2 linked regions of the Lonchura striata genome follow. The protein of the gene in region 1 binds, or shares a complex with, the protein of each later gene. Links are inferred from orthologs where the notes say so. Each region holds a gene or a part of one and is shown in the gene's direction. Other genes may lie near its edges.

Evidence for each region.
Region 2: MYBBP1A (region 1) and DEK share a complex: the UniProt entries of both Homo sapiens proteins name them as parts of the B-WICH complex. The link is inferred for Lonchura striata from reciprocal best matches to the Homo sapiens genes MYBBP1A and DEK.

What each region holds. Positions count from the first base shown.
Region 1 is NC_134622.1:4,151,851-4,155,760, forward strand, and holds the start of MYBBP1A (myb-binding protein 1A), read left to right. Parts: upstream 1-1,133; 5' UTR 1,134-1,149; coding exon 1,150-1,338; intron 1,339-1,507; coding exon 1,508-1,603; intron 1,604-2,449; coding exon 2,450-2,533; intron 2,534-2,930; coding exon 2,931-3,005; intron 3,006-3,424; coding exon 3,425-3,532; intron 3,533-3,910. UniProt on the Homo sapiens protein: May activate or repress transcription via interactions with sequence specific DNA-binding proteins. Repression may be mediated at least in part by histone deacetylase activity (HDAC activity).
Region 2 is NC_134603.1:88,784,868-88,788,777, forward strand, and holds the start of DEK (protein DEK), read left to right. Parts: upstream 1-910; 5' UTR 911-1,139; intron 1,140-2,817; 5' UTR 2,818-2,828; coding exon 2,829-2,961; intron 2,962-3,910. UniProt on the Homo sapiens protein: Involved in chromatin organization.

The sequences.
Region 1 (3,910 bases):
TACTCAAGGACATCCTGGAACGAATGAGCATTAAGGATGTAGTAAATTCAGATTTTGGTGTACATCTGCGTATACTTTGCTAACTTAGCAGAAGGCTCCAGGACCATGTATCCCATAGCTGATCTATGTTCGTTATAATTCTAAGGACCCTGTGAAAACCCCCTCAGCTTGTGAGGAATGTCTACAAGTTAGCTGAGGTTATGCAACTTGTAAATTACTAATCAATCCCCATATATATGGGGAGTACTTGGAAAGTTAGTAACTCTGAACTGAGTATAAAAAATAGTGTGAAAAGCCCGGTGGGGTGTGCTGGATTTGTGGAGCACAACCGAGCACCGCAGCTCACGCAACACTGAAATACCAATCTCTGAAAAAAAATACCAAACTCTGAAAAATCAATGTGTCCGTTGAGTGTATCATGGCTGGCTTGTAGCACACCGGGAAAGCAATCCAATTTTGTGGGATGAGGGGTTGAGGGAGCGGGGTGGGAAAGGTGGCCATGAGGGGAGTGGGGTGTGAGGGGACACGGGAGGGGCCAAGAAGAACTGAGGGGAGCAGAGCTGAAGGGCTGGGAGGTGCTGAGGGGAAACAGGGCTGAAGGATCCTGGGGAGCTGAGGGGAATGGGGCTGAAGGACCATGAGGTGCTGAGAGGAATGGGGCTGAAGGACCATGAGGAGCTGAGGGGAGCGGGGCTGAAGGACCATGAGGTGCTGAGGGGAGCGGGGCTGAAGGATCATGAGGCGCTGAGGGGGAACAGGGCTGAAGGATCATGAGGCGCTGAGGGGGAACAGGGCTGAAGGATCATGAGGCGCTGAGGGGAGCGGGGCTGAAGGATCCTGAGGCGCTGAGGGGGAACGGGGCTGAAGGATCATGAGGCGCTGAGGGGAGCGGGGCTGAAGGATCCTGAGGCGCTGAGGGGGAACGGGGCTGAAGGATCATGAGGCGCTGAGGGGAGCGGGGCTGAAGGGCCCGGAGGCGCTGAGGGGAGCGGGGCTGAAGGACCGGGAGGCGCTGAGGCGCGACCATGCGGGGAGCGGTACTGAGGTACCGCGGGGACTGAGGCGAGCAGCTCTCCCGGCGGCCGAGCCCGTCCCGCTGCCCCGGAAGAGGCGGAGCGGGCGGGCGGCCCCACGTGCGGCGGCGGCGGCATGGCGGGGATGGAGCCGATGGAGCCGCTGGAGCCGCGGGGCGGCGGCGCGGCCGTGACCGACCCCCGCGGGGTGCTGCGGCAGGGCCGCGCCTTCCTCGACTTCTTCTGGGACATCGCTAAGCCGGAGCAGGAGGTGCGGCTGGCGGCCACTGAGAACCTCCTGCGGCACCTGCGGGAGGGCAAGAAGGTGAGGCGGGCGCCGGAGGGGCGGTGGGTGCGGGCGGGCAGTGGCTCGTCCCTCCGCTCCCGCTTGGGAACGCGGCAGTGCGGACGGGGCACGGGCCGGGCGCGGCGGTCTGGCGGCCGGGCCGCGCTCGGAGCAGCCCGGACACGGCCCAGCTCTGTCTCTCTTGCAGGATGATGAACTCAAGTACACCCTGAAGCGGCTGGTGGAGGGACTGGGAGCCACCCGCGAGGCCGCCCGCCCTGGCTTCAGCTTGGCCTTGGCGCAGGTCAGTGTGTCCAAGCGCGGGTCGGAACCGTCGGCAGCCTCTGTCCATGCTTGGGGTCACTTTTGCTGTCTGTGCAAGGCTGGAGCCCTTCTGGCTGCTCCTGTGTGCACATGGGAGGGAAGGCTCTCACAATAACCGTAGTTTTAAATGGTGCTACTCTGCTTTAGAAACTTATAAAGTTATGAACTATACCAATATCTATAGTTATGAACTGTAGTTATAGTAATGAATTATGCCAATACATTCATACTACATAGTTCTGCTTCAAGGACTGTCCTTGATTTACAAATTTTGACCAAGTTTTCAGTTATTCTGTGTTTAGCACTATTACTACTTCTTGAAACTGTCTTGCTCTTGGTTGGTTGATGTGGATATCTGCCCTTTCTCTAGACCAGGTTGCTCCAAGTCCCATCCAGCCTCGCACTGAACATTTCCAGGGATGGGGCAGCCACAGCTTCTCTGGGCAACCTGTGCCAGAGCCTCACTGCCCTCACAGGGAGTGATTTCTTCCTAACATTGAACCTAAATTGGCATTTTGTCAATGTGAAGTCATTCCTCCTTTTCCTGAGACTCTGGGACTCCAGAGTCCCTTTGCAGCTCTCTTGGAGCCTATTTAGGCCCTGGGAGAAGCTCTAAAATCCTCCCTGGAGCCTTCTCCAAGCTGCACAAGCCCAACTCTCCCAGCCTACTTCCTGTTCTTTACTGATCTGGTTGTCTTCATTCTGGCCTGATAAAGCAGCACATCTGCTGCTGTGCTGTACACCTCTTCAGCTCTATTTTAGCTTAACCCAAGGTAATGTCATGAAGTAGAAGAACTGCAAACGGCTATTCCATCTCTCTCCTCAGGTTTTGCAGGCTTTTGAGGAAATTCCACTGTGCAGCATTTTGGAACAGATAAAAGAAAAACACAATCTGGAAACAGTGAAAAAAGTAAGTCAGCTCATGGCAACATTTGCCAACTGATACTTTAAATGAATTGTTCTCTATTCTTTGACGTCTTGGTGTATAGTGTAGCTTTGGGGTTCGTGTTAAAGCAAGCAATACAATAAAATAACAAATATTTCTAAAAATTGCAAGTTGATGACATTGTAATCTGGCCCTGTTTTAGGTGAGATTTTTCAGTGTGATGAAGAGGTACTGTAGGACAGTTCTTAAACATTATGTAGCAGGTTGCTTTTCAGTATGTTCTCTTCCCATGGTGAGGTGTTCAAGGCTGGGTTTTCCTGCCATCTTGCTCCACTGATTGTGTAGTTGTGTAGCTGCATGTGAGCTTTAGTCTCTCAGGAAAGTAGATTTTTACTATTTTCTTTTTTTTTTTTCCCTTCAGAAACTTGTGAGAAATGCTGCTTTTGGGAACTTTTTTGGAGTGATGGCTCTATTCCAGTCTGGGCGGCTTGTGAAGGTAACACTACTGTCAGGTGTGCCAATTCTGCTTCTGGGGCTTCTGATATGGAAAGAAGATTGACAGAGAAGGGCTGGGTCACTGGGTAATCGATGCAGTGGCACTTGAAGCATCAAGTTCTGTTTATTTCTATTGTGTCATCCATGGACTCTTTGTGCCTTTTTAATGTCTGTTCCTGGGCAGAATGTAGGAACTGTGTCAAATAGTGCAGGAGGCTCCTACCTCTCCTGGAAGGAAAGGATCTGTTGTCATATCCATCTGGAAAACACAGTTTTGGAAAAAGCTGAGTGACCAATCAAGAAACAATTGTGTTTCTTATTACAAGTAGGCATAAACATCTAAAGAGTAGATTATTACCTTAGCCTTCAGATTAATTGCTGATATATGTCCTCTGGTTTTGGCTTATCTTTCCTTTGTAGGACCGGAAAGCTCTGCTGGAGAGCATCCAGCTTCTCCAGCAGCTGACAAATCACCAGACACACCTCAGAGATCTCCCACGCAAAACTCTCATTGACATCACCTCTGAGGTACGGGCACAGCATGTGGCCTTGGGGCTTGGTGGGGCAGGAGGAAGAGAGGGCTTGGCTTTGGGGCCAGATCTTCCTTTAGTTTGTTCATAGCTGGAAATTACAGGGGGTGTGGAACAGTGAGAGTAAACTGTGGGAGCTGTCCCTGTATGGCTGTGGGCAGATGCTTGTGCTCTGGTTTAGCTTAGTTTGACTTCACCATGGACAATCCCACAACCTGTTGTTTCCCATTTTACTTGCTTGGATTATATGTTAGACCATGTGCTCCTTTGAACAGATGTATGCTGAAAACTCTGAACAGCAAAGCAGCTTTTTTTTATGCATCAAGCTTGGGCCTAAGGTTGAATTTTGGGCTGTTGGGAATGAAATGATGTAGGA
Region 2 (3,910 bases), on another chromosome or scaffold:
GGGCCCGGCCGTGCCGCCGCCGCGGGGCCGCGGGCAGGGACCCCCCGCACGGGACCGCGGGCAGGGACCCCCCGCACGGGACCGCGGCAGGGACCCCCCGCACGGGACCGCTGCAGGGATCCCCCGCACGGGACCGCGGCAGGGACCCCCCGCACGGGACCGCGGGCAGGGACCCCCCGCACGGGACCGCTGCAGGGATCCCCCGCACGGGACCGCGGCAGGGACCCCCCGCACGGGACCGCGGCAGGGAACGGGCGCTTCGCTCCAGCCCCGCGGGGAGGAGCCGCGCTGGAGCAATACAGAGGAAGTGGGAAGGATGCCACGCTCCTGTGAATGGTTCATCGCAGGCGCGTGTGAAGCGTAGTTACGTAGAACTAGTAGTAAAAGTAGGATATATGTGTAAGACGAACACTACTAAATACTTAAGAACCCAGAACGGATTGGGTTGAAAGGGACCTTAGAGATCATCTAGTCCCAGCCTACCTGCTGCGGATAGGGACATCTTCCACTAGCCCAGGTTGCTGAGAGCCCCATCCAACCTGGTCTTAAACGCTTCCAGGGATGGGGCATCCACAGCTTCTCCGGGCAACCTGTGCCAGAGGTACTGGGAAACACTACAGTGTACAAAACGAAAGTCTGGGGAGCATATATTAATCGCTGCCCAATTTAGGCAGGATAAGTGGTGCGGATTCCTTATTTTAAAGCTTTTTTTTTTTTTTTCTCTAAGCCACCTCAATTAAAGACAGCGCCAGTGTTAAAAGGGAAAACGCAACGTCGCGCCGCTCACACCCGCGGCCCGCTCCCTCAGCGGCCTGGCGTCATTGCGGGCGGGCGGGCGTGACGCGCACCCTCCCCCGCCCTCCCCGCGCCGGCGGGGCCGCGGGCGCTGATTGGCTGCCGCCTTCCCGCTTCCTCCTCGCCGCCCGAGAACCCGCCATTTTGAAAACCTTGTTGATTCCGGGAGGGAGGGAAGAGGGAGAAGGAGAGGGAAAGGGCAAGAGCGGCCGCTGGCTGTAGGGCTGCGCCGCGGCGGGGCGCGTGTGTGTGGCTGCGCCCGGACCCGCCTCGTCCAGCAGTAATTGCCGCCTTCAGCTGCTGCCGCCGCCACGCCTGAGGAGGGAGCCGGGGCTCGTGCTGAGGTGGGTCCTGCCGCCATGGCCGTAACGGCGCCCGAGAGCGGTCCCGCCTCGCCGCGCCCGGGCCGAGCGGGGACGGACTGTGACGGGCAGAAATGAAACGCGGCCGCCGTGCCGCCGAGCTCCCGTCCCGCCCCCGGGGACGCGCCGTGTGCGGGGCGCTTGTCACCGGGGCTGCGTCCCTCCCGGCCCGTGCCCGAGGCGGTTCCCGGGTGCGGCCGTGTCCTGCGGCGGGAGCCGAGGGAGGGCTGCGAGCGGTCCTGGCCCGGCTGCAGCGGGGAGCCGATGGCGCCTTGGCCGCCGGCGCCACCGGGCGCTGCGCATCGCCCTCCGATTGCCCCAGCATCCAGCTTACAAATCGGGAAGGGGGCATAGGTGGAAAGTCCCCGCGTGAAAAGCCCCAGCCGAGGGCGGGAGACCCTCTCCCGGTAAGGGTGGATCCCAGAACCCTTTTTCCCTAAGCAAAATGTCGTCCCGAGCCCAGGTGGTGGAAAGCTAAGAAGTCTCTAACTTTATTTTCCCCCCCTCTGTTCACACTGAAAGGGTAAAGAAAGACAACTTGTAGTGCTTCTCTTGCTTTTACTCGTGCCTTCAAAAAGTCAGTAATTGCCGTGAAAATGCTAGATTACTTACTACAAATGAAAATGTTGGTAGTAATACCCTGGAGGGTGTATTTTTCACTGGTGATTTAGCCAGGAAACTTTACTTTTCCCCGTATTATTTGTAATAAATATTACCTCATGCTTTCTGTCATTTGGAACACGACTGATCTCTGGCACCTACTAATGCTGCACATAAGCAGCAGATTTAAGTGTTACTTATAGTACCTGATTACTTGCAGATAATATTTGTTTTAATATTGCAAAAAGAAAATTGTTAATTGTGTGAAATTCTGTTCCAGATTTAAAAGGTGAAAATTTTTGAAAGCTAGAATTTAAAAATGAAACATATGGTTATCTTACTCTATTGGATAGGTGTTTTCTGTTAGTAGAAAATGGTACGTGTATAACTAAGATATTTTAGTTTAAAGCTTACATATAGGCCACTTCAGATATTAAGAAAAGACTCTTATACATGCTAAGTATGAAGCATTTATTCTTTTTTGTTGTAGATTTGCAAATTAAAACGGGAAGTATTTTCATGCCTAAAGATGCAGCAGCTGTCTAGGTTATGAAAGCTGTGTTAATTCTTTCCTGAATTGCTTGCAGCTTTTTAAAAAATGTTTCTTTTCCCATTTCCAGTCTAAATAAGTAATTTGTTTAAGTTACTAGGAAACTTGTATGCATAGTTAACCATGATCAAGTATTAAGTTTATAGCAGGGTGCAGTAAAACAGTGATATCTTAAAACACTGCAGTTTTTAATAGATAACGGTTTCGGCTGCTTTGAGTGGGTGTTCCCGAATGCTTCACAAAAGCAGCTTGGAGACTTGTGTGTGAATAGAATTTATAACCTCTTAGAGTGTTCTTAACCAGACTAATTGCAGGATGGATGGCAACTTCTTCTGAAAAGTTGTATGTATTGTGTGTATGCCAAACACCTTAGTGATCAGAGAATGTGAACAATCACAGTACCAGCACGCTGCTTCTGCTGCACAAAGAGATAATTTTTGAAAGCAAGATTCCCGTGGTTTTTATGGATGTTGTTCTACTGATGATAGTTTCCCCTGACTCTTTCTACAGGAGCATACACCATGTCTTCTGTTGATTCATCAAAAGAAGATACAATGTCATCAGAAAAAACAGATGAGAAACAACCTGAAACTGAAAACAAAGCTGAGGAAAGTGATGAAGATGAAGAAGAGGAAGAGGAGGAAGAAGAAAAGGGTACTTTTCTCATTGACTAAGTTGTTCTTTAATGGATGCCAAGCTACTGAATGCAGTCTCTTGTGATTTTGGCTAATTGTACAATTATTGAGGGGATTTCATCATGCATCTGTCTCATGGGTCATAATAGCTTCCCAGTAGCCTATAACAGGCAATGCTAAAAACAGTGGTGTTGATTAATCTCAGAAAATATTTAAGGAATTGCCAGCATCCTGGACTTGTGTACTAGGGATTTTTTTTGTTGATGTATAAATTTTTCAAGGATTATAGGAGGTAGTGTCCCTTATCAAATTAGTTTTTGCTAGTAACACTCTGAAGTGATCTGTGTTTGCAAAAGGAAATCTTAAGTGTGCAGTAGTTTTGGAAGCAATATGAATGTCTTGTCTTAACTACAGTGAATTAATTTTCTGGCTATCCAAATGTAATTGTATTGAGTTAGCGGAAATTCCTTTAGACTAATTTTGGTAATAAAAAATTGTGGCAATGTGATAGGGTGAGCAAGCAAGGCAAGTTTCTTGTCGTGGCATGTAATTGAAGGTAGTAAAGGAGAACAAAACAAGATGAAGGAACTACTAAGCAAAAATGTTAATTTCTATTGAGATGTCTCCTGGCATGTGTTTTCAAAAGCAAAGCATTCATGGAAATAGAGTTGTAATGTGACATAGTGAAAACCAAGTCACTGATGCTCTTGGATCTTTAGGAAAGGTAGTAGAAAGAAGATGGATTATGCCGTTTGGAAAACAGCAGAGTGATTAGCATTGGATTTTCAGGGAAAAAATTATTTTTGCTCTGGTTTTGATAGTGTTCATACAATTCACTAAAGCCAGGACAGCCCATCTGTTTAGCTCTAAGGATAGTGTTACTTGAGGTCAAGTATTTTAGTATGAAATATTTAGGTGAAGCTTTAGTTTTTTCTTTAGAATGGTATCATTAAATGAGTGATGTGCAG